Linked DNA regions of Ovis aries. The protein of the gene in region 1 interacts with the protein of each later gene in a pairwise test. Links are inferred from orthologs where the notes say so. Each region holds a gene or a part of one and is shown on either strand. Other genes may lie near its edges.

Region 1 (12,171 bases):
AACTTATAAAAACAGAAAGCTTTACCATGAAGAGAGGTGGTGATGGCCAATTAGGATAGGGAAGCATTGGCCCACAGCATTCGTGAAGTGATTAGATTTGGCCACCCAGAAAGCTGTCTCTTCCAGAGAGAAGAGAGGGCACATGGAGGGGTGGAGAGCAGCCAGGGCTGCAGGGGAAAGGGGCACAGCAAGGAATTGGTAAATGACAAAGACTTCCCGCTTATTACAGCAACCAAGAAATCCCGGACCACAGGAGAGTGTTATTCAGACAGTTTAAAATTATTAGTCACTAAACAAAATCCCTGAGTTGGAAGATTGCCTAGAGAAGGAAATGGCAACTACTCCAGTATTCTTATCTGGGATATTCCACGGACAGAGGGGCCTAGCAGGCTACAGTCCATGGGGTTGCAGAGTCGGATACAACTGAGCAACTGGGCATGGATGTGATCACATATATACACACACACGTAAACAAAAATGTAGACACGCAAGACAGATGCAAAATAAAATCTTTTCTCTCTGTAGTCTATGAGATGTATTCAGAACAGATCCCCCCGTTAAAGTAGTATGATTAAGACATAGAGAAAGAAGGAACCATCCATTTCAAATACTGAGAGAAATGGTAGTGAGGATGAAGAGCTAACTTACAACTAGATTGAGGAGGACAAACTGGTCTGCCAATTTCTGGATTTCTTTATTTTCAGCAAATGCCTTCTTTAAAGCTGTAATGCAAAGAAAAATAGTGAAGCATTCATCTCATCACCAGGTGAAACCATTGTTCTCTGTTAGATTTTAAACTGAACTGTATTTTTAATACAGTATTGAACCACACCCTTTCTGCAAATGGTTAACAAAGAAATATCTAGACCATTGACCAGCTTTGTTTCTCCTGCTCAGTCAGTCAATCATTCATCTCTTAATTTTTTTTTAACCCGTGTTTACTGAGTGGTTACTATGTGGCAAGACTGTTTCATGTACTGGGAATAAAGCAGTGGGAAAAAAATAAAATGTGCTTTCTTCATAGGACTGAAATGCTTGTGTAGGAGACAGATCATAAACAAGCAAGTAGTTTTAGGTGGAGATAAGCACTTTGAAGAAAAAGAAAGCAAAGCAAGAAGTTTGAAAGTATAGAATGTTCAGGGAAGAGTTCTTTGAGGAAATGACATTGAAGTGAGAGGCTGATATGTTCAAAGATATTAGGGATGCATCCTAGGGTAGCCAGGTAGGTGCCTGTCACAGAGCTAGGCAAGATCTCATCTAGGTGTGGACCAGGGCAGTAGCAGTGAGGTAGTAGGAAGTGGCTGCATTTGGGCAGCAGCTATGTAATATATGAGGCCCAGTGCCTGTCTCAGAGGTAAAGAATCCACCTGCAATGCAGGAGACTGGGTTTGATCCCTGGGTTGGAAAGATCCCCCTGAAGAAGGAAATGGCAACCCACTCCAGTATTCTTGCCTGGGAAATCCCACGGACAAAGGAGCCTGGCGGGCTACAGTCCATCGGGTCACAAGAGTCAGACAGCAACTAAACCATCATCACCAGTGCCAAATGAAAATATGGAGCCCTTTGTTCAAAAATTACTATGACTTTTAAGATGGCAACAGCTGATCTTTACAGCAAGCATAGGAGCCTTCGAAGCGCTGTGTCCTGTGTGATTGCACAGATGGTGTGCACAGGAGGCTGGTGCTGGCCTTTGGACATACTGTGAGGGTAAATCTTTGGTATTTGTTGATGTATTGAATGTGGGATAAAAGACAAAGCAAGAAGTCAGGGATGAATTCTAGAGCTGGTATTTTCAAACTGTGAGCCAATGGTTAACACAAAACGTGGAAATATTTGAAGTTACTGTGTTTACTACATAAAATATTCTTTTTAATTCAACTGTGCTGGGTGCTAAGGGTATAAAGATGAGAGATCTGGACCCTCCCTCTAAAGCTATAAACCTATAAAAGAAATTATATTTAGAAGTATAAATTACCTTGACTGTGTGGGCATTCATCCAAGTGGTGAATAATCATCAAGGGTTTATTGCTTCAAGAGACAAAGAGAGATAGGATCATGTTTAATGAGTAGGATTTTGTGTGTCACTAAAGATCGCTAGATGGCTCTCTTGAGAGCTTTGAGAGAGTTCCCTAAACTTGTCTTTACCTTGTCTTGGATTTGTATAAAGCTTCTTCATATGTCTGGGTCCAGATGAGTTGGTCTCCCCAACCTAGAACAAAAAAACCCAGTGTATCTAAAACTGTTATGTTTTCAGACCCAGAGCTGTTGATAAACAGTTGTAAAACTGGGATCATTATATACTTGATACTAAAGAAGAGCAAAAACCTCTAGAGAAAACAGAAATAATGGTAAACTTTGATAAATGTAGAAAGAACACATACAAAAATTTGTTCACACAGATCTCAGGCCTGAGAGTTAAATCCTTCCCAATTAAGTATAATTGGAGGCCAGCGGGAGTGTGACTCCTACCTCTGGAGAGGGTCTGGGGCAGTTTGAGTTGAGAGTCCTTTGTATCCTTCTTAGCTCCTGGTTTGACTGTGGTTTCTTTGGCCAGAGTGTAGGAGAGGGCCACCAGCAGCAGGAATGCTGACACTGGAATCTTCTCCATGGCAAATCTGATATGGAAAACAAGTAAATTAGCAAGAAGCCAGTAAAACAAAAAGAAACTGGCAATTTTTCAAAGTCTTTAGATTGCAACCCAAGCGTGGGACACAACAAGAATTGAGGCTTAGATGGGATTGAGCACATGCAATTGGAGTGAAAAAATACCTTCCACAGAACTTTCCTAAGAATGCATAGTATAAATTTCTATCTATCCACCTCTATATAAGATCTGTATAGAAAAAAAAAATATACTGATGAAGATCTCCATAGAAATATACAATGTAGAAATAGATACAGATATGTTTTAAGAAAATTAGGAGATAGATGTATATATTCTTATAGTTAAGGGAATTTGCTTTTAAATTTTATATTTTTCATAAAAAACATCATAGTAGAAGACAACTTAGGAGTTATATCCTCTTTCCCCACCTCCCCAGTGTCTCATTTTGTAGATGAAGAATCTGAAATTCAGAGAAATGAAGACCAATGAGAGGGGCATAGAACCAAGGCTTTTGGATCTTGCCACTTTGCACTGCTGGCTCCCATCTTCCCATTTGGAAAAAGTTGCCCTAAACATACATATTTCTTTAATATTTGTTAAAATGGGGACACTGCCATTGAAAAATAAGATCTGAGTGAAATGATTTATTTCATTTAGAAACTGCCAACTTTTTATCTTTTAACTAAAGGCTTGCATACACACAGCTCTCTCCCTAGTGTAACATTTACTCAAACTCTAGATATATTGGTTCTGAACTGGTTAAAATACATCAGTGGAAATTTCTTCCAGTGAGCTAATTCTTTGACACTTAGTGTGGGCCTGTATAGGTAGGTGGTTGTGCACAAAATATTTCTATTTTATCCCATAAAATATTCTATGGGACTCATCACACAGAGAGACCAATCTCGTAAATGTCTCTTTGTTAATTTTTCTTTTCTTTCCAGTATTCCAAATTTAAATATCAGGAAATGTTGTACTATTTCAAAGCAGATACTTTTGAATGGGAAAGAGAATAGCAAGGTAAGGTCCATGAGTGAGTGAGGAAGTAAGTGAGCTAGCAAGGTGAATTGCACTAACGAATCACTAGGGCTGTCCAGGGACCATGACGTGCAAAGCTGGAGACTTGGGATGCTAGTAAAGCCGAAGACTGAAACTGGTTAAAAAGAAACACCTAACTCTAATATTGGTGTGTTTCAAATTAAATGAACTCTGCAAGAGAAACAGGATGGACCACCAATGTTCAGTGTTTTTAAGGGGTAAACTTTCTCATATTCTGATAGCAGGTTAAGCATTGTTGTTTAGTCGTGATGTCATGTCCCACTCTTTTGAGACGCCTTGGGCGATAGCCTGCCAGGCTCCTCTGACCGTGGAATTTCCCAGGCAAGAATACTGGAATGAGTGGCCATTTCCTTCTCCAGGGGATCTTCCCAACCCAGGGACTGAACCCACATCTCCTGCATTGACAGGTGGATTCTTTACCATTGAGCCACCTGGGGAAGCCTTTGTTAAGCATTAGCCAATTAAAAAAAAAAAAGGCATTGCTAAGTTACCAAATCCAGATGATGTCTTATATTAATCTGACCAATTATTGTCTATGTCATAGTATGTAGTAGCCACGCAATGTCTCACAAAAAAGATGTAAGCAAAAACAGGGATACACTGTCTTCATTTTCTATATCCATAAAGATACAGAAACGCCAGTAACAATTTTTGTATCCAGTATTTTGCACAAGCACCCCAACTGTGCTACACAAGTCTTCTAGCCTTTTTGTTACAAAGACTTCTTCTTCATGCCAACAACACTAAAAACCAAGAACCCTTATGTGAGAATAATTACACTATTCAGGATAATGGTTGATTCAGAAAATATCATGCAAGTAATGGCTTGAAATTTATCGACAAACGTTTGATTTTATATTTTATGTATGGCAACAAATGTATATTAGCAAAAATAGCAGTAAACAGGTGGTGAAGTATTTATGTAATTCACTGACAATTCTTGTGCAAGTGGCCATTAGGACCTCTTTTTATAGCTTTGCAGCTTTCAGATTGGAACTATTGATACCTCATACATGTTTTATGGCAGAACGACTCAAGGGAGCCGAATATAACTCCTGCTGTACAAACAAGATTTTCTGAGATTCACTGTACTGTTTTCAACACATCAATTTTTAGTCCTGAATTGACTGTGATCTGCAAATTGCATGCATAAACCACCTCAAAACAGAAAGCTAACCATGGAGGACACTGATAATTTGGAGACACACACACACACTATGAAACCAGCACTTTTCACTGCTCACTATATCTCTGTCTTCATCAACGAATGCCTTGCAGGAGGTTTCAATGTCCTTGTTCATAAATGCTTTAGGAAAGTAACCAGATCTCTCCTTTTGCATTCTGCGCTATGAATTTAAAGACTGAATAAGCAATAAGGATATCTTTATATCAGACACAGAAGGAAAGCTATTTCCTGATTTGCAATAATATTCTGATCGGTAATCCCCAGCAGCTTATCTGAGCTGACGTTTCACAGCCCTGTGGGTCTTTGCTTTGCCAGTAAGAAAGAAACAAGCATTAGATGGTGATCAGGGCTCAGTAACCAAGACAGGAGACCCTGGGCTGTGTGTCAGGCTTGAAAACTCCAGGAGTTGGCTCGCTCTTAAACCTCTCATTTTCTGGGAGAGAAACCATTACCTTGAATCAGCTCAGGAACATCGCTTCACAGAGAGGTTCTAGGAAGCCTCTGGTGAAAATTCCATCAATTCCCTCTCCAAATCCCATTTTGCTGCTCCTGGAACTGCCCCGCACTCCTCTGCCTGTGGATTGCCTACACCTTTACATGGTAACCAGAGGCCAAAGCTCATTCTAACAGGTGCCCGTCTAACAATACTGTCAGGAGCCTTACCTGGATCTCCCCACCCACCTGTCTGTGTGAGCCAGGCGGCCTCGATGCAGTCCAAGCTTCCTAGTATGCTGGCTCAGCCCACGCCTCTATTTATGCACCTGAGCACACCTCAATCCCACCCACTAATCCTGTATTCACATGGTGCAGACTCTGAAAGGAACTTTTCTTTCTCCAGGTCTTCCCGGGGCTAAAGAGTTCCCTGTTTTTAAAAAATAATGTTGCAGAGGGAGTCCCTTTCAGTATGCGTGCCTTTAACTCTTTGTGAAAGCATATTGTTAAGAGATTTGAGAAAGGTGGGCAGAGTGCCAAATCCAGGTACAGTTTAAATGAAGACATTTGATTTGCCTGAAGGCTGATTTGTCTTTATGTGATTGGATGGAATTTGTGGTTTGTAGAAATTTTTTTTTTTTTTCTCTCTCTCTCGGGCAGATTGCCTCTATTTAGTTAGAAACACACAAGAGATGATTCACTGTTCTAACCCCTACACTCATATAAGCTGCTGTCCTCCATTATGGTATAAATTATTTCACACAATGTACTTCCTTTTCTTGGCAAACAAAATGTGTATTCACTGTAGGTACGAAAGTAATCCAAACCAAGAATTCCTATAATATATTAAAACTAAGGAAGTTATTGAAAAAAAGATATCCTAACACTATGAGTTTTTATTAATCACCTTGCAGGAACTCCTCTCCAAAGAATTCAAAGGTATTTCACAGATATTCTCTCATTCAATGGCAAACTTTACTGCTAAACATAGCAGGAAGCTATTTCCATCATTTTTCACACCTATAAACTAAGATGTGCAACTACTTTCTCATTTAAATTTATGCAATAGTTCATTCAACATTTTAAGACTGGACTTGGGTTTTCTGTAAAAAATTTTAATCCTGTGAAAACTATGTGTAATCCTTAAAAGTTCAGAACAGAAAAATCTTTAACAACAGAAAGTTAGCTAATGATATGCAAACCCTATAAAAATAAAATTTGAAGTGAGTTGAGATCATACTATTTCAAAATATTTTCAAGCAGGTGAATTTTTTGATAAAGCCTGAGTTTCTGTGGGCAAAATAGGAAGGGATTTCAAAAATGGTGAGTTTTCATTTGAAATGAATTCACAGAAATAATCTCTTTAGGAATTTGAATAAAAATAATGATTTGAGCTCAACTTTGAAAAGCAGTAAGCCTTTTATATGGGCTTCCCAGGTGGCTCAGTGGAAGAGAATCTGCCTGCCAATGTAGGAGACACGGGTTCGACCCCTGGGTCAGGAAGATCCCCTGAAGGAGGAAATGGCAGCCCACTCTAGTGTTCTTGCCTGAAAAATCCCATGGAAGAGGAGCCTGGCAGGCTACAGTCCACGGGGTTGCAAAGAGTTGGACACACTTGAGCACCCACTTCACCAAATATTCTTGAAGCCTGATTATGTAGCAAACACTATGCCTGACATTAAAGATAGGAAAATGAAAAAGACATGGTCAGTTATTGAGGTAGACAAATACATCCATGGACAGTTGCAATTCAGGATGGTAAGCCATACCCATGGGGAAACAAAGACATTGAATACATTATCTCTGCTGTAAGGTTATTAATGATCTGATTGAAGAGTTAAGATTGACCCACACTAAAAATTAATCATCTGCATGAGAAGAGCATGCCATAATGGATGGGTAAAAGACCTTGATGCTGGGAAAGACTGAGGGCAAGAGGAGTAGGGGTTGACAGAGGAGGAGATGGTTGGATGGCATCACCGACTCAATGGACGTGAGTTTGAGCAATTCCAGGAGATGGTGAGGGACAGGGAAACCTAGCATGCTGCAGTCCATGGGGGTCACAAAGAGTCCAACACGAGAAGTGATGAACAACAAGTGGTATAGGTATCAGCTGTTATTATTTTTCAGAGGAAATAGAGATTGCTAGTCATGAAAATGCTCGGACTAATGCTAGACAGCAAGGTTTCCAGGTGCAGACAGTGATAAAGAATTTCCAGAATATGTTTGTTGGATATTTAGTGGAACCACCCCTGGCTAGAGTCAGATACATCTGGGAAACTCATAAACAATAGGTTTGAAAAGTTGTTTGGGGGCTATTTGATTTACCCGGGACCTTGAATACTGTTTTAAGGAGCTTAGACTTCATCCTCAAGAGGAAGTGTCCTGCGATGGTGAAGGGGGCATTTTATAGATTCACCTTTGGTTTGAGTTCAAATTTAGTGTGATGATTACTACGTATACTTCTAACTCCTGCAAATTACCTAACCTCTCTGTACTTGAGTCGTCTTCCTTGTGAAGTGGAAACAGTAAGACTCACTTTATAGGATCTGTGGAAGGTTATATAAAATAATTGAGAAAAAATATTTAGAATGGTACATAGCACATAGTAAGCACTGGAATATACTATCGATGGTACAGAACTTGCTTCTCTATGAAAGTCACTTAGCTGTATGGGGGCTTCTGCGTACAAATACAATCGTTTCCCATTTCTTGGGATGGACAGGGAGGCCTGGCGTGCTGCAATTCATGGGGTTGCAAAGAGTCAGACACAACTGAGCGATTGAACTGAACTGAACTGATACTCTATTAAAAGTAAAATGTAAACACCTAGTTCTTCCTAGATCTAAAACTTTAAAAATGTACAAATTTTGTTTATTTGTATAAAGTATACAAAAATAATTTGGTTTTGATTAGAGAAGTTTTGCTGGAGAAGGAAATGGTGGCCCACTCCAGTATTCTTGCCTGGAGAATCAGGCAAGGTTCCTGCCAGAGGAACCTGGCAGGCTATAGTCCATGGGGTTACAAAGAGTCGAACACGACTGAAGCGACTCAGCACAGAGAAGTTTGGCATAAAATTCAAAATCTATTTTAATTTTTTTTATTATAGTAAGAAAAAAAATCACATGAAATATAGCTATCCTCTTAACCAATGAAGTGTACAAGATGATATTTTAAACTATAAGCATAATGCTGTAATCAGATATCTAGAACTGGTTTCTTTTTTAAAAAAATTTTATTTGTTTAATCTGCTCTCGGTCCTTGTTGCTCTGAGAGGGCTTTCTCTAGTTGCGGTGAGCAGGGGTTATTCTTTGTTGCAGTGTGTGGGGTTCTCACTGCCCCGGCCTCTCTTGATGTAGAGCACACGCTCTGGGGCGTGCTTGCCAGCTCAGTGGTTGCGGCTTCTGGGCTCCAGGGCACAGCCTCAGGAGTTGTGGTGAACAGGCTTAGTTGTTCATGTGGCACGTGAAAGCGTCTGGGACGAGGGATGGAACCTGGGTCCCCTGCATTGGCAGGCCGATTCTTATCTACTGCACCACCAGGGAAGTCCTAGAATTTGTTTCTTGCTATTTGAGTAAAATAAGTATCATCAAATTAAACTGACCTAAATCAGATAGATTACATTTCAAAATGTTCAACAGGGTACATTTGCCAACATAATGACCCAAACTTTTCTAAGCACTTTAGCAGTTCTTGTAAATATCACAAATTAAAGTTACTGATTAGCAATTCAGGTTATATTAATCTTATAAATATTTTTCACAGCCAAATACATTATAATTCTAAATTAAAAATCCTAATTCTAGTCACATTCTTAATTAGAGTCACAGACCAATATTCAGCTTCTCTAAAAGAGGTTTCTGTTATATTATACAAGCACTTCACTAACAAACACATAAAGGTTTTTCCACTATTTTCAAAACTTATTCTTCAGCTTCACCTGGAAGTCTTAATACTACAGATTTGAGTTACTTCATTGGTTACTTCATCAATAGAAACTTTTTTTCTATTCCTTCTAGGGACTAGTGAAGAGAAAGCAGATTTACCTCTAGGTTGGACCTATTTCCTGAGTCTAGAATTAGGGACTCTGATATGGATCAAAGACTGTGACCCAATCACTGATATATTTGATGTTATAGATACAATTAGATGTATCTCAAGGGAAAGTGTAGAGAGGAAGACTCATTACCAAACCTTGATAATTTTTATCCATTTAGGAGGATGAGGAAAAGAAGTGCTTCTAAAGCACAAGAAATAATCTCTTTGTACAAAGACATACATTTCCAGGACCACACCATTTCCTGAATCCAGGGTTAGTAGTAACTGCAGAGCACAAAACAGCAACCAGCGTTGAATGCAGGTGGTAGGGCTTAGAACTGGAGAAGAGAGGCAGTTGAATGATTTCCAGAGCTCTCTGACATCTAGCCAAGACACTTGTATAATACACTTGATTGTATAAAAATCAATTGCCTTCAATCAAAATTCATGAATGTCACTTGGGTTGAAGTAATGAAAAGCCAAATTACCTGGTGCAGCGATGTATTACTTTCTTGGGTCATGAGTAAAGTGACTATATTCTCAGTTTGCCCAGAAAATTCTCAGGTTAAGCCTGTTGTTGAGCATATTAACTGAGAACATCCCCCTTTACTTTAAAAAGTCTGGTGATTCGGGCAATAAACTACATAGTCTAGGTAGATGAAATCTACCAATGTTCTCTGTAGGAAAATAATTGCTTATACACATATAATTTTAGGTGGCTTAGATAGTAAAGAATCTGCCTACAATGCGAGAGACCTGGGTTGGGAAGATCCGCTGGAGAAGGGAATGACAACCCACTTAGTATCCTTGCTTGGAGAATCACATGGACAGAGGAGCTTGGCGGCTCACAGTCCATGGGATCTCAAAGAGTTTGGACATGACTGAGTGACTGACAGAGGTCTCATTCATATACTGAACTTAATCAGAAGACCCCTTTGTGGGACCCATAGACTAAGGTTAAAAACAATATTGCTCGAATGTTCAAGCTTCTAAGTGTAGCTGTTTCAAGGACCCACAACTTTAGAATTTAGCATTTAGCTCTCTGCCCTTGTTTTATAGCACCACCTTGTATTTCTTCCTGTCAGAAATGTTATACCATGGCCTAAGTTGGAAAGAATGCTAGTCTCAGAGTCATTCAAGTCTTTTGCTGGCCTTGAATAAAGGCCCACAGTCAGAAATCCTTTTAGATCTGCGTGGAAGTGGAGCTTAGAGGGAAGGGGGAACGAAAAGTAATTTATGGGGATTCCCTGGTAGCCCAGTGGTTAGGAGTTGGTGCTTTCACTGCCGGAGCCCAGGTTTAATCCCCAGTTGGAAAAGGCAATGGCACCCCTCCCCAGTACTCTTGCCCTGAAAATCCCATGGATGGAGGAGCCTGGTGGGCTATAGTCCATGGGGTTGCTAAGAGTTGGACATGACTAAGCGACTTCACTTTCACTTTTCACTTTCATGCATTGGAGAAGGAAATGGCAACCCACTCTAGTGTTCTTGCCTGGAGAATCCCAGGGACGGCGGAGCCTGGTGGGCTGCCATCTATGCGGTTGCACAGAGTCAGACACGACTGAAGTGACTTAGTAGTCGTAGTAGTAGGGGAATTAAGATCATGCAAGCCTAGAGGCAGGAGGTTAAAAAAACGAGAGAGAATTTGGGTATGAAAATGAGAATAAAGAACATAAGAATTATACAAAAAGTAATTTATAACATATGAACATCCAAAGTAGATAAATTATTTCCCCATGAACTCTATCTTTTAGAAGATGGGTATTTTTAAAAAAGTTTTGCCTATTTATTGAGTGTGCTGGGTTTTCGTGGCCATGTGGGCTTTTCTCTTGTTGCACAGAGTGGGCTGACTCTCTAGTACATGGGCCTTATGTGGTGGCTTCTGTTCTATGGAACACAGGCTCTAGGGCACAGGCTCAGAAGTTGCAGTGCACAGACTTAGTTGCTCTGTGGCATGTGAGACCTTCCCAGACCAGGGATCGAACCCATGTTTCCTCCATTGGTAGGCAGATTCTCTAGCACTGAGCCACCCAGGAAACCCAGAAACAAGCTGAGTATTTTTAAAGGGAACATGGACATCATTCTTTAGAGCCTGAAGGGGAAAATCTCATGAATCTTTAGAACTTGCCATTGAAGTGATTTGCTACTAATGAATTTGGAAGGTGGGAAACAGGGGTCATTTAAACAGATATGTTTGGATCTGGCAACTACTTTGGCTATATATGAAAGAAGGGTTTCACGTGCATTAAGGAGACGTGTCCTTAGCGGTTGGAGTCTGACCTAGAGTCAATATTGTTACATGACAAATACACTCCTTGGGGTGGAGCCTTGAACAAGCAGAGATGCTGTCGGAAGCTTGTCTGTCCTAAGGATGCCAGTGACTTAAAAAGGAAAAGCTTAATCCTCCCTTCTGAGGTAGCTTTACTTTGACTCCAGTTCTATAAATTTCTTCTCGTAATTCTTTCACCTCTACTTCTTTGTGTGTATGTGTGTGTGCCCAGTCACTCAGCTCTAAAAAAGTGTTCTTTTCCTTATGATTTTTGCATTTGATAAATACTAATAAGTAACTTCCTAAGACCTCAGTTTTTTGTGTGTATAATTGAGTGTGTTTCTTGGAAGATGAAAATAATCTTAGTATGATTCCAAATTTACTTTGAGTCTGCGTGTGTATATGTTTTATACCAATTAATTCCATTATATGGTTTTTCCATATAATGGAATAATTGCTTTAAAAAATCAGGGTTTGAGTAATTTGGGGGCTTTCCAAAAGCTTCTATGATTGTTATTTAAGGAAATAACAGTCACATTCAGGATTTGATCTTTTCGGGACAGTTTTTACTGTACAGTTTCTATG
Region 2 (12,186 bases), on another chromosome or scaffold:
AACGTAGAGGAAACAGAGATCTAATTGCCAACATCCACTGGATCATGGAAAAAGCAAGAGAGTTCCAGAAAACATCTATTTCTGCTTTATTGACTATGCCAAAGCCTTTGACTGTATGGATCAAAATAAACTGTGGAAAATTCTGAAGGAGATGGGAATACCAGACCACCTGACCTGCCTCTTGAGAAATCTGTATGCAGGCCAGGAAGCAACAGTTAGAACTGGACATGGAACAACAGACTGGTTCCAGATAGGAAAAGGAGTACATCAAGGCTGTATATTGTCACCCTGCTTATTTAACTTATATGCGGAGTACATCATGAGAAACACTGGGCTGGAAGAAACACAAGCTGGAATCAAGATTGACGGGAGAAGTATCAAAACCTCAGATATGCAGATGACACCACCCTTATGGCAGAAAGTGAAGAGGAGCTAAAAAGCCTCTTGATGCAAGTGAAAGAGGAGAGTGAAAAAGTTGCCTTAAAGCTCAACATTCAGAAAATGAAGATCATGGCATCCGGTCCCATCACTTCATGGGAAATAGATGGGAAACAGTGGAGACAGTGTGAGACTTAATTTTTCTGGGCTCCAAAATCACTGCAGATGTTGACTGCAGCCATTAAATTAAAAGACGCTTACTCTTTGGAAGAAAAGTTATGACTAACCTAGATAGCATATTCAAAAGCAGAGACATTACTTTCCTGACTAACATCCGTCTAGTCAAGGCTATGGTTTTCCAGTAGTCATGTATGGATGTGAGAGTTGGACTGTGAAGAAGGCTGAGCGCCGAAGAATCAATGCTTTTGAACTGTGGTGTTAGAGAAGACTCTTGAGAGTCCCTTGGACTGCAAGGAGATCCAACCAGTCCATTCTGAAGGAGATCAGCCCTGGGATTTCTTTGGAAGGAATGATGCTAAAGCTGAAACTCCAGTACTTTGGCCACCTCATGCGAAGAGTTGACTCCTTGGAAAAGACTTTGATGCTGGGAGGGATTGGGGGCAGGAGGAGAAGGGGACGACAGAGGATGAGATGGCTGAATGGCATCACTGACTTGATGGATGTGAGTCTGAGTGAACTCCGGGAGTTGGTGATGGACAGAGAGGCCTGGCATGCTGCAATTCATGGGGTCGCAAAGAGTCAGTGACAGTAATCAAGGGAAAAATTAGTGGTGACCAAGATGATAGCAGTGGAAGTGATGGGAAGTGGTTGGCGTCTGGATTTATATAGGTATGTGTTAAAGTTTTTAACGTTTTGTTATGGAAAATGTCAAACACATACAGAGGTAGGGAGATAAGTTTAATTTTCCTACTAGGTATACAATGGACCTGTCAGGCGTCAGCATGTCAGATAGGTAGGTAATAAGGGGATTGTTTTAAACAGCTGCAACAATTGTCAACTTGTGACCAACCTCATTTCTGCTATACTACTCTCCACTACCTCCCCTATCCTAGATTGGGGAGGAAGCAGTTTGAAGGGAACCCCAAATGCCATATTCCATTTGTAAATGTTCAGCTTTTACCACCCAGCTGCTCCTGTAATAACTGCTCCTCAGGGTATTCTGTAGTTTACCCTGCGGCTCTTGCTTGCTCATAGCTTCTGTACTCATGGTTTTTACTTACTGTCTGCCCTCTCTGTCCTCTTGAAACCTTTTTCCTTCTACCAATTATCGTGTATCTCTGAAATTCATTCTAGGTTCAGTTTGTTGTTCGTTCTGCGAGTTCATAAACTGGCCAGACTGTGTTAGAGTTGTTGCTGTTGGGTCAGACGCCCTCTCTAGGTCCTTTCAGTTGGCACTGAAAGGTCAGTTTCAAGGTCAGTTTCCCAGAGAGAGGTTATAACAATGGCAGTCACTTAGCAAACAATACGCTGCTCTCCAGTACTAATAAATAGTGGAGATTTAGTGCTAAGAAAGGATGTAAATTATTAACAAAAAAAAGTGAGCCTGCAATAAGGCTAGAAATAGATAAGTGCCTAACCACTTAATTGCCATTGTTTTACAGTCTGCCCTGACTCCTTTGGAGTGCTGTTCTTGGGTGCCACGAAAGAATTAAGGGTTTTTTGTGTGTTTTTTTAAAAGATATATTTCTTTATAGTAGGCTGAGTAATAGCATAGATGATAATGTACTAAGAGTCAAGACCTACATTTAATTCCTGTGTTCCTTATGGACTCTCTGCAACATTAGACAAGCGAATAAACTTCTCTATACTATAGATTTTCCACTGTCAGATGAAATTAATTCCTGCCCTTTTCCTACTTCACATATGTAGACAAGATCCTAGAGGTAGAAGCACTTTGAACCTTTATTTCTAGAAAGTGTGAAAAATCTAAGTAGTTACTGTTTTCAATGTGAAGATTTTAATAAAGTTATAAAATGAACAGTGGATTTAAGTTCCTGTTTTTGTAAAAGATTATATTCTTTAATCTGTTCATCTTCAACATGTACACAAACATTTTTCTTTCTACATTGTAATGTATGTGCCATGTTTATATACAGCTTAGAACAGTACCTGGAACTTGGTAAGAACTATATAAATGTTAGCTATTACCTTCATCAATGTGAAAAATAGTCAAAACGAAAGTCCATAGAGCCAAATGCTTAAAAACTTTACCACCTCTGTCCCCTGTATGCATACCGACCTAAAATGGAATTGGTTGAAATACATAAAGTAGTATATTATGTGAGTATATGAGTGAAAGAAAACTTTTGGGAACCTAAAAAACTGTCAGTGTATGTGTTTATGAATAAAAGGGGAGGGGTGACATTTGAAGATGACATTTTTGGTGCCTGATAGCCCACTTGTTCTCAAAGACTGCTTAGTGTACCTGCTGCATCAGAACCACTTGGGAGTTCTCTAAAATCCCTGGTTCTGTTTTCAGAGATTCTGACCTAATAGGATAATGGTAGAGATTAAGCATGCAAACAGTTCTTAAGTTTCTCAGATGATCATGCTGCTTACCCAGGTCTGGGAATCACTGGCAATGCAGAAAAATAAAATGCACTTTACCTTAGCACATCATTTGTTTCCTGTCGTTTTGTTCAGAATGGTATGTATGTATGGAGAAATACACAAATCCGCAGCCAGAGGAGAAGATGGAGGATCTCTATTAAAATCAGAATAGTGATTTTCTCTGGCTTATGGGTTATGGAAATATTTATTTTGCATTTGTTTTCCTTAGTTCTAAACTTTCTGGTTAAATATGTATTATTTTTATAATAAATGTTGCTAAGGGAAATATTTACCAGTACAAGATTATAAAGACCCCCATGCAGTATATGTCTTTAATTTACCAAATGTGGGGAAAAACCCAAAACAGTCTATTAATGCATATGTCTTTTTTTTAAGAGAGACTACTTTTAAAGCAATGTGGGAACAATGTTTATTCATATGTTTTTTAAAATGTCACATTCTTTTAGAACACCAGTAAATACATCTTAGAAAATTTAAGACAAGTTAAATCCTAATTAGCTTTTACATGTTTTTCTTTGGTGAGACTGGAGATATAAGCCATTCACCAATGCTTATAAAAGATCTAGTCAATCAGCAACTTTATACCAGATGAGGAGAGGAAAGCATTTCTGGTTCAGTACAGATTTTCCGTCTAATCTGTGTTCTGGGCGGTGCTCCAGGAACAGTGCTCATTCCTTTTTGAAAATCCTCTTGGCCTCCACACCTTCATATGTGTAAGTCTGAAAGGTGTTCACAAACGAAGAAGAATTTGACATTAAGATTAGAGGCTCAATTAAGAAAAATATTAGTAGAGTTTAGCTTCAGAATGCATTTTTTTTCTTGATAGCCACATTTTATACAGATAGAGGAGACATTCATTTAAAAATATGTTTTGGTTTGTAGTCACATTTTCGGTTAAAATAGGCTCAATGTGTTGACGTACATAAGTTCTCTTCAAATAGGCATCAGAAAATACCTATAAAACTCAGTAATATTTATGAGAAAAGTAATAGTCTGTTTGTTGATGATTTAACTCAGCAACCCCCCAGATAAAAATCATTGCTATGTAATTATTTTTGTCTTCGGAAAATAACTCACCTGGACCATTTCGCCACCTATAATTTCTCGGACAGTGTTTAGTTCATTTCCATTGTCCAACCGTTTAAATTTTCCGACAAGTTTATCTCCCTCCAGGGCCCACGCCCCCTGTGTAAGATTTCAAAATAATAATAATAATAAAACATTTTTAAGGGTCTTAGATGTGTCTGGCACTGTTCTGAGGCCTACAGATCTACTTCTTCAAACTTCACTGTAACCCTATGAAGTAAATATGTTTCTCTCCATTGCACAGATGAAAAAACTGAAATACAGTAATTAAAGTCACAAAGCCAAGCTTGCACCTAGATTACTGGGGCTCTAGAGTACATGCTGGTAACCATCTGGCTCTGTAGTTTCCAAGTGCTGAATCGTAAGGCAGATAATTGGGGCTTCTCTTTACTAAGTCATTCACATTAAAAAGAGTGTTCTAAGTTTAATCATGGTTCATATTAGTTTCACAGAGAAGTTAACAAGCTTGTGCTTGATTTAATTTATGTATTTGTGGTTAACAGTTAAAATGCAGCCATAATTGATAAAATCTTTGGCAGCTTAATTGTCATTGCAAACATGTTTAATTTAACCAGAAAAGTTCTAAGTGGAAACATTTTATTAAAAACCAGTTGAAAAACGTGACCCCATTTTATATCTTAAAATTTTCTATCTTCAATAGTAAAAAGTGAATTCCCAGAGACCTACATTGTGACCTTGGACCTTTCTATTTGGTCACACCTTCTAATTTATTCATTTATTTTATCATTTCAATTCCATGTCTATTACATTTAAGTTAGATAGCTCTAGAAGCTTTTATTGCTGTCAGATATGTTGAAAACACTGAAATTTTCTTTATGAAATAGGTGTATACTCAGTCATTCAAAGGATATTTTTCTAATTGCTTAATCCAGGTTCTTTAATAGATACGTATGAAAATCAAAACATTTTTAAATACTCTGCTAACTTGTATGATGTTTAATATGGACAAACTCCACTGACTGCTTCAGTAAATGAAGGAGACCTACATTCATTAAGCGATCCAGTGGAAGAAAACAGAGATTATTTTTGTAGTATGTAGAAAAATCAGGAATGCTTTGCTTATAAAAAATTTCTTACACTGAGTTCAGTTCCGTCTGCGAGGCTGTAGTTAAAAGTGACACCAAGCTCAAAAATAATTTCGATGCTTCGAAAAGTGCTTGATTCTTTGACTGTGAATTTATTTCCTTCTTGGGTAATTATCAGTTTCAAATTATCATGAGCTGCAAGCTTCCTTTTCACCACATTAATACCTGCAAAGGGAAAGAGATTGGAGGAAATAAAGTCAAAATGCCATGGAAGGTGCTACTTTTCCAAGTTCTGTTTTAACTAGTTCATTAACCAGTTAATATTTTGTGGGTGAAGAGGAATACCTGATCATATTGCCTTTGCACAAGAGCATTCAGATTGCTTCTGTAGAAAAAGTACAAGCTCAATCATATCAAACTATTTTTCTAAAACTGAAAAAAAATTAAATGAAGCATAGAATTGTAGAATCTTAGAACTAATTTTTTAAAAAATTATAAATATTTTTGTTTCAGTGTTAAGTAAATCAAATTCCAGGGATATCAAATGAAGGATTAAGAAAGTACATTTATATATTTATAAGGATTATACTACTTTAATTCCACATGTATGGTACACTTTCTTTTTTAATGTCCCTTTGCTTTCCATGGCTTTAAAATTTTGAATTTCATAATTCTCTTTGCTTTTTGTGGTATTTCTATCATAGAAATGAGAAAATTAGCAAATATTACATGAAATTCATTATTATAAGAAATGTGAACTTGGAATTCCTAAACTACAGGATATAATTGATGCAGATTTTTATTTTTAGGGAATGACCAATCTTTTTGCCCATAGTGCTCAGTGTATGGGCTGCCAGAGTAGTGGTATAGATATTCAAATCTGTTAAATTAAAACTTCTGTAGGAACTACATGCTGTCGTGAGAGCATTCCAAAAGCTCTGCAAGCCAGAGCAAGAGAATTAAGTCTCATTTGTTTCCATTGCTTTATTAAATGGCCTTTGCTTTTCCACCCCCTAGAATTTAATATTTTAAAGTATGAAAGTTATCATTATGCTCTGCCATATTTTACTTTCTAAACAAACAGAAAACAAACAAAAAACCATTCAATTTTCAGTCACCAGTTGACATAAATGAAACATATCTGGATGTTTTTTGTGTTTTAGAGAACAGTGCCCCAAAATCTTTTCTTCCACTGGTGAGAGTGTATTCTTTCTAATGTAAGAAGTGAGAGTGTGGTTTTCCCTACACTGAACCAGCACGCATTCTTGATCCTCACCAGCACAACAGGTGCCATTGCCTAAGCCTTGAGGTTTAGAAGGAGTTAAAGATGTCTGTGAAAAACAAAAGAACAAGCTATTAAAGTATTAAGCACTTACCCATTTTTTCCATGAACTTTTCATAGTTCTCATTTCTGTCTACCTTCCAAGTACCATCAAACGCCATGGTCTCCAGTTAACTCAGCTTCTGAGCAATCAGAGATTCAGGTCCGTCCTTAGGAGAGAATTTATTCTATTTCTTATCTTAGAACCAGCTTCATATTGTGATGTGGAAGTTTAAAGTTCAAGAGGCCACTTGACTTCATTAATGCCAAACCTTCTAGTTTCTATAAATTTCTTAGCTCCCCTTCTGAAATTCAACAGCAATAAACATGATAAGCCTATGTATTCTATCTCAAACTATGACTTACAGGTACAATTATTTCAAGAGTTAGAATGCATTCTGTATGAAGATAGTTTTTCTGTTTGCAAGTTCAAAGTGCACACTTTGTTGGATGTAGCATAATTTAGAGCATATATCAAATAGGTTTTGGAAAATGAGACTATTAATGACCTATCCCTTTTTTATAACAGCAATTACCTTGTAAGTAATGTAAGACTTCATGACCAAATACAGCTGAAAAGTTTATGTTAATAGGATATTGAGACTGGAATTTTATTTATTTTTCTAATATGTCCTTTTGCAGTGTGTTTTTGGGTTTCCAGGACTTTGGGTAAATATCCTGGCACCTGGTACGGTGCATGACACACAATAGGGACCGATTATATTTTTGTTTTGGTCTTAAATGCTGGCAGGCCACTAAGAAAAATTTCAAGAGGTAGAAACATGGATGGATGTCATGAAAACTCCCATAAGTGAAAGAATCTGTAGACATCTGCCATGTGCAGAAAAAACGAAAGCCAGATGTCAGCTATGCCATTAACTAAAACCATTCCTGTATTTACTTTCCCAGTACTCAAACCACTGTATTTGGTTAAGAAAATCCTTGATATTTGGTTAAGAAAATCCTTGATTTTCTTTTGTCTATTAGAAAGTCACCTAAAGTGTGTTTATTTAGGTAGTTTTTGACACGTACTAGTGATTAACTTGGGACCAGATAGGACTTGGATTTGCCTGTTAAGATCAGAGTAGTGCTTTAGCTCCCTTTGGAAATACAACTTGCCTCTCTGTGATCTCGCAGTGACTGAAATACAAGTGCCTGACTCCAGAAGGTGGGGAGGAAGCACCTAGAATGGCTTCTTACCATTGTTCACCTAACACTGCCCTTTATCTCATGGCTACCTTGGGCTTCCCAGGAAGAGCAGAATAAGATTAGATGAGGGCAAATAGCACTTGGACCCATGCAGACCTGCTAACAAATGGCCATGTTAACCTTTCATCTTCCATTTATCAGTAGCAGTAACCTAATTTAAAATCAGTTAGAAATCCCTGTTCTCTCTATAGCGTGGAATCACTGACATTTGAAAAAATGATTAGATTGGATTTTTAACATCATACATTTCCCTGCAGCTTCCAAGCTCTGTATCTTCTTACCTCTTACCTGGACCCCATCTAGAAAAGGTCATACAGAACCAGTGGCCAGTTTCCCTTACAGACCTCTCATACTGATGATACAGTTGGGCAGTCAGCTGAGGGCCGACTCAGTCCTTTATTTTCTTCTTTGATAATACTAGAAGGTTTAGGGTCCTGCTTCTGCAGCTTGGGAAAGTGGGTGGGGTAGAGGTGCTTGGTGGGGGCGGGGGCGGGTGGTACTGATGCTGAAGAGGTAGAGTTGTACCCTCTATATGAGAGTCGTACTCTCTGTATGGACTCCGCAGTCCACGTCAGCCACTGAGTTGTGTGGAAGTAGTGGAAGTCAGCAGAAGCTCCTGTTCATCCCTGTCCCATTCCTCCAAGAGAAAGTACAAACCACATTCCTTACCGTGGTTTCCGACGCCCCTTCTTATATCTTGGGTCTCCTGTCATTCCTTACTGTGTACTCTGAGATCTAATATATCGAACTCCTTGCAGTCCTCAGTCTTGTGAATGTGCCTGCTTTCTGTTGCTTCAGGTCACAGCTTGGTCACTGAGTGCTCCAGGAAACATGTCCTGAGCCACAGAGACTGGGTCAGGTGAGTCCACGGCTTTCGAGTGCAGTGACCTTCTAAGAGCCTCAGCGTAGCTCATAAAAGACAAAAGGAGTTGATGCCTGACCCTCATTTGTATCATCATGAAGTACAGAGAGTGATAGCATGATGAGGGACAGTACGATGCTTCAAGCTCATTTACAAAGAATGGTTTTCTAGAGATCACAGAAACCCTTTTAGCCTGTTGTAAAGCTGAAGGGAAAGTTTTTCTATTTTTTAAAATATATATCACTTATGGGAAATAGCATTTTCAGAATTTCTGAACCCTGCTTTTCAGTGCCAAGTTATTTAACTTTTACATGTCAGAGAAAGGTAGTGGTTTCTCTGAGGGCCCTGTAAGAGGATTTGAGGGACAGATGTAAGGAGCAGCAGAAAAGTCTTAAAGCACCTGTCCAGTTCCTAGCAGTGAATGGGGAATGAGGGAGAATTCTGAAGTTTGCCTACAGAGTTTGCTTCCTTCTGTTTTAACCATAAGCCTCTAAATTTTAGAAACACTAAGACCTTTTAAATTATGTTTTAGGATTTTGTGTGTGAGACTGATGGCTGATTTTCTTCCAAAAAAGGCTATAAAGTTACAGCAGTGTACAAGGATGTATCTGCCAAATAATGGTGAGTGCAACCTGCTAATTGTCATTAACAACAGGCAGCCATTTTTAAAATTTTAATTGGAGGTTAGTTACTTTATAATATTGTATTGGTTTTGCCATACATTGACATGAATCAGCCATGGGTTTACATGTGTTCCCCATCCTGAACCCCCCACCCACCTCCTTCCCCATCCCATCCCTCTGGGTCATCCCAGTGCACCAGCCCTGAGCACTCTGTTTCATGCATCAAACCTGGGCTGGTGATCTGTTTCACATATGATAATATACATGTTTCAATGCTATTCTCTCAGATCATCCCACCCTCGCCCTCTCCCACAGAGTCCAAAAGTCTGGTTTTTACATCTGTGTCTCTTTTGCTGTCTTGCATACAGGGTCATCGTTACCATCTTTCTAAATTCCATATATATGCGTTAGTATACTGTTTTGGTGTTTTTCTTTCTGGCTTACTTCACTCTGTTTAATAGACTTCAATTTCATCCACCTCATTAGAACTGATTCAAATGCATTCTTTTTAATAGCTGAGTAATATTCCATTGTGAATATGTACCACAGCTTTCTTATCCATTCGTCTGCTGATGGACATCTAGGTTGCTTCCCTGTCCTGGCTATTATAAACATTGCTGCAATGAACACTGGGATACACGTGTCTCTTTCAGTTCCTGTTTCCTCAGTGTTATGCCCAGCAGTGGGATTGTTGGGTTGTAAGGCAGTTCTATTTCCAGTTTTTTAAGGAATCTCCACACTGTTCTCCATAGTGGCTGTACTAGTTTGCATTCCCACCAACAGTGTAAGAGGGTTCCTTTTTCTTTGCACCCTCTCCAGCATTTATTGTTTATAGACTTTTTGACAGCAGCCATTCTGACCAGCATGAGATGGTACCTCATTGTGGTTTTGATTTGCATTTCTCTGGTAATGAGTGATGTTGAGCATCTTTTCATGTGTTTGTTAGCAAGGCAGCCATTTTATAGGATCCACATGTGTTGGTTGAATGATGTTATGTGAAGGATTTGTGACTGCCTCTTCTGCCTTTTTTTTTTTTTTTTTTGATATTTATGTATCTGGGTCTTAGTTGCGGGGTCTTTAGTTGTGGCGTGTGGGGTCTAGTTCCCTGACGAGGGATCAAACCCAGGCCCCCTGCATTGGGAGCATGAAGTCTTAACCCCTAGACCACCAGGGAAGTCTCTGCCTTATCTTTTTTTAATCTGGGTCTGTTCACCCAAATAATGAGTCTCCCTCCAGCAGTTTGAGTGAGAGTTTGCTCATTTCCTATGCCCCTCATACCACAGTCAGAGGAAGATGGGTTTGCATTCTCGCTCCCCATTCCCACACCCATTACGTTTCTGACATTTTTTTTCTTTTTTAGTTCTACCGGTTTATTGCTACCAACGAGTCTCCCTCTGCCCTCATGCTTGTGAGCTCAGTCATGTAACCCCAGGGACTCCCATGTCAGGCTCCTCTGTCCATGACGTTTCCAGGCAAGAATACTGGAGGGGGTTGCCATTTCCTTCTCCTTTACGGAAATCTTTTCCTTTGAGACCATTTCCATTTGGCTGTCAGCTTCTGGCCTACTTCATCATCATTATCTACCATCTAATCCATCTATCATTATCTACTGTCTGTCCCCGTTTATCATTGTTATCTAACATCTATCACGGAGAATCCTGGCACTGGGCTCACCATCTTCTTATTGTCCCACTGTGTCTTGCCATCATCTTGGGTGAGCTCAAAGTCCATGTGGATAAGATACTTGTCACTCTGGCCTCACGGTGCCTCAATCTCCTAATCTCTAATAACCTTTAGCTTTACTACACTTTATCCTACTACATCCAGGGCTACAACTTGTGATTTGTCACTACTAGAGATTTTCCTCCTGTGAAACTTAACATGCCACTCTGTGTTCAGAGATTTTCATCTGCTCGGCTTCTTCATTTTCCTCATACCATCAGTTCTTAGCTTGACGAGAACTTCAGTCAGTTATTTCCTCTATTTCCCCCAAAGTTTGGAGCCCCCTCCTGGTTTGTTTGCATTCTCTATCCAATCAATACATGTTGCCAATAAAATACTTCCTCTGCTGTCCCAAGTGCTATTACACATGGATGGTCTCTAGTTTCAGAGGAATCATACCCTGCCTGGCAAGACTTTTGTATACCCCCAAATGAAAAATAAAACAGCAAGCCATAATTCTCTCAATTTATGTGTTCTCATTTTCAGTATTACCTGTAACTACTTTATTTACTTCTATAAATTCTTCACCCACCTATTCATTCAACATATATTGGAATTCTCATTATGACCTAGTTGCTGGGCTAAATTACCGAGATAGAATGATGAACACATACAGTTTCAGTTTCAGTCAAGAGAAAGCATGGCTTGAAATTAGAATAATTTGGTACCTGCAAAGATTTTTTTTTTTCTATCTGTATGTCTTCGTTTTATATCTGGGTGAGGTGGTATCTTTTCTTGTTCACATTATGATAATCCAGTTTCTCTCATCTTAAGAAATGAAAACAACTCTCCCTGGATTCTGTTGGCATTTCTATAACCTGCTCTGGCTTTTTCCTTCCCCCTCATAGCCAGTCTTCTTGAAAAAGTGATCTGTACTGTCTCCATATTCTTACCATCTATTAGAGCCTCAGTCTACTGCAGTGCAGCTTTCATATCCACCGCTCCACTGAAACTACTCACTAAGCTCGTTGATGAATTATTTTGCTGCCAAATCCAATACACTTGCCTTGGCCCTTATTTTATGTCATTACAGCATTCTAGACCATGGACTCCTCCCTTTTTGAAATTTCTCCTTTTCTTCTCTTGACTTTATTCTTTCTTCATATTCCTCTTCTCTAAATGTCCTTTTCAGGCTCTTTCATGGGCAATTCTTCCTCAACCAACATTTTATATTTTGAAGTTGCATCTTAGGATCTCTTTGTTTTTGCCATTCCCATGTCTTCAATTTCCATCTGTGGGATTAAAATTTTAAGGTACAGCCCAGATCTGTCTCCTACCAGGTACCTATTCCTTACCAAGTTGCTCTGTTTGCAAGTTCAGTTGGTGCCTCAGACCCCACAAGCTGGA

The links.
Region 2: the proteins of AGR2 (region 1) and FABP2 interact in binary tests that used the Homo sapiens proteins (3 or more experiments, as listed by UniProt). The two-hybrid records come from large-scale screens. The link is inferred for Ovis aries from reciprocal best matches to the Homo sapiens genes AGR2 and FABP2.

What each region holds. Positions count from the first base shown.
Region 1 is NC_056057.1:26,281,893-26,294,063, forward strand, and holds the start of AGR2 (anterior gradient protein 2 homolog), read right to left. Parts: upstream 5,576-12,171; 5' UTR 5,303-5,575; intron 2,616-5,302; 5' UTR 2,609-2,615; coding exon 2,470-2,608; intron 2,210-2,469; coding exon 2,146-2,209; intron 2,029-2,145; coding exon 1,976-2,028; intron 723-1,975; coding exon 649-722; intron 1-648. UniProt on the Homo sapiens protein: Required for MUC2 post-transcriptional synthesis and secretion. May play a role in the production of mucus by intestinal cells. Proto-oncogene that may play a role in cell migration, cell differentiation and cell growth. Promotes cell adhesion.
Region 2 is NC_056059.1:6,359,374-6,371,559, reverse strand, and holds FABP2 (fatty acid-binding protein, intestinal), read right to left. Parts: upstream 6,583-12,186; 5' UTR 6,546-6,582; coding exon 6,479-6,545; intron 5,328-6,478; coding exon 5,155-5,327; intron 4,156-5,154; coding exon 4,048-4,155; intron 3,690-4,047; coding exon 3,639-3,689; 3' UTR 3,355-3,638; downstream 1-3,354. UniProt on the Homo sapiens protein: FABPs are thought to play a role in the intracellular transport of long-chain fatty acids and their acyl-CoA esters. FABP2 is probably involved in triglyceride-rich lipoprotein synthesis.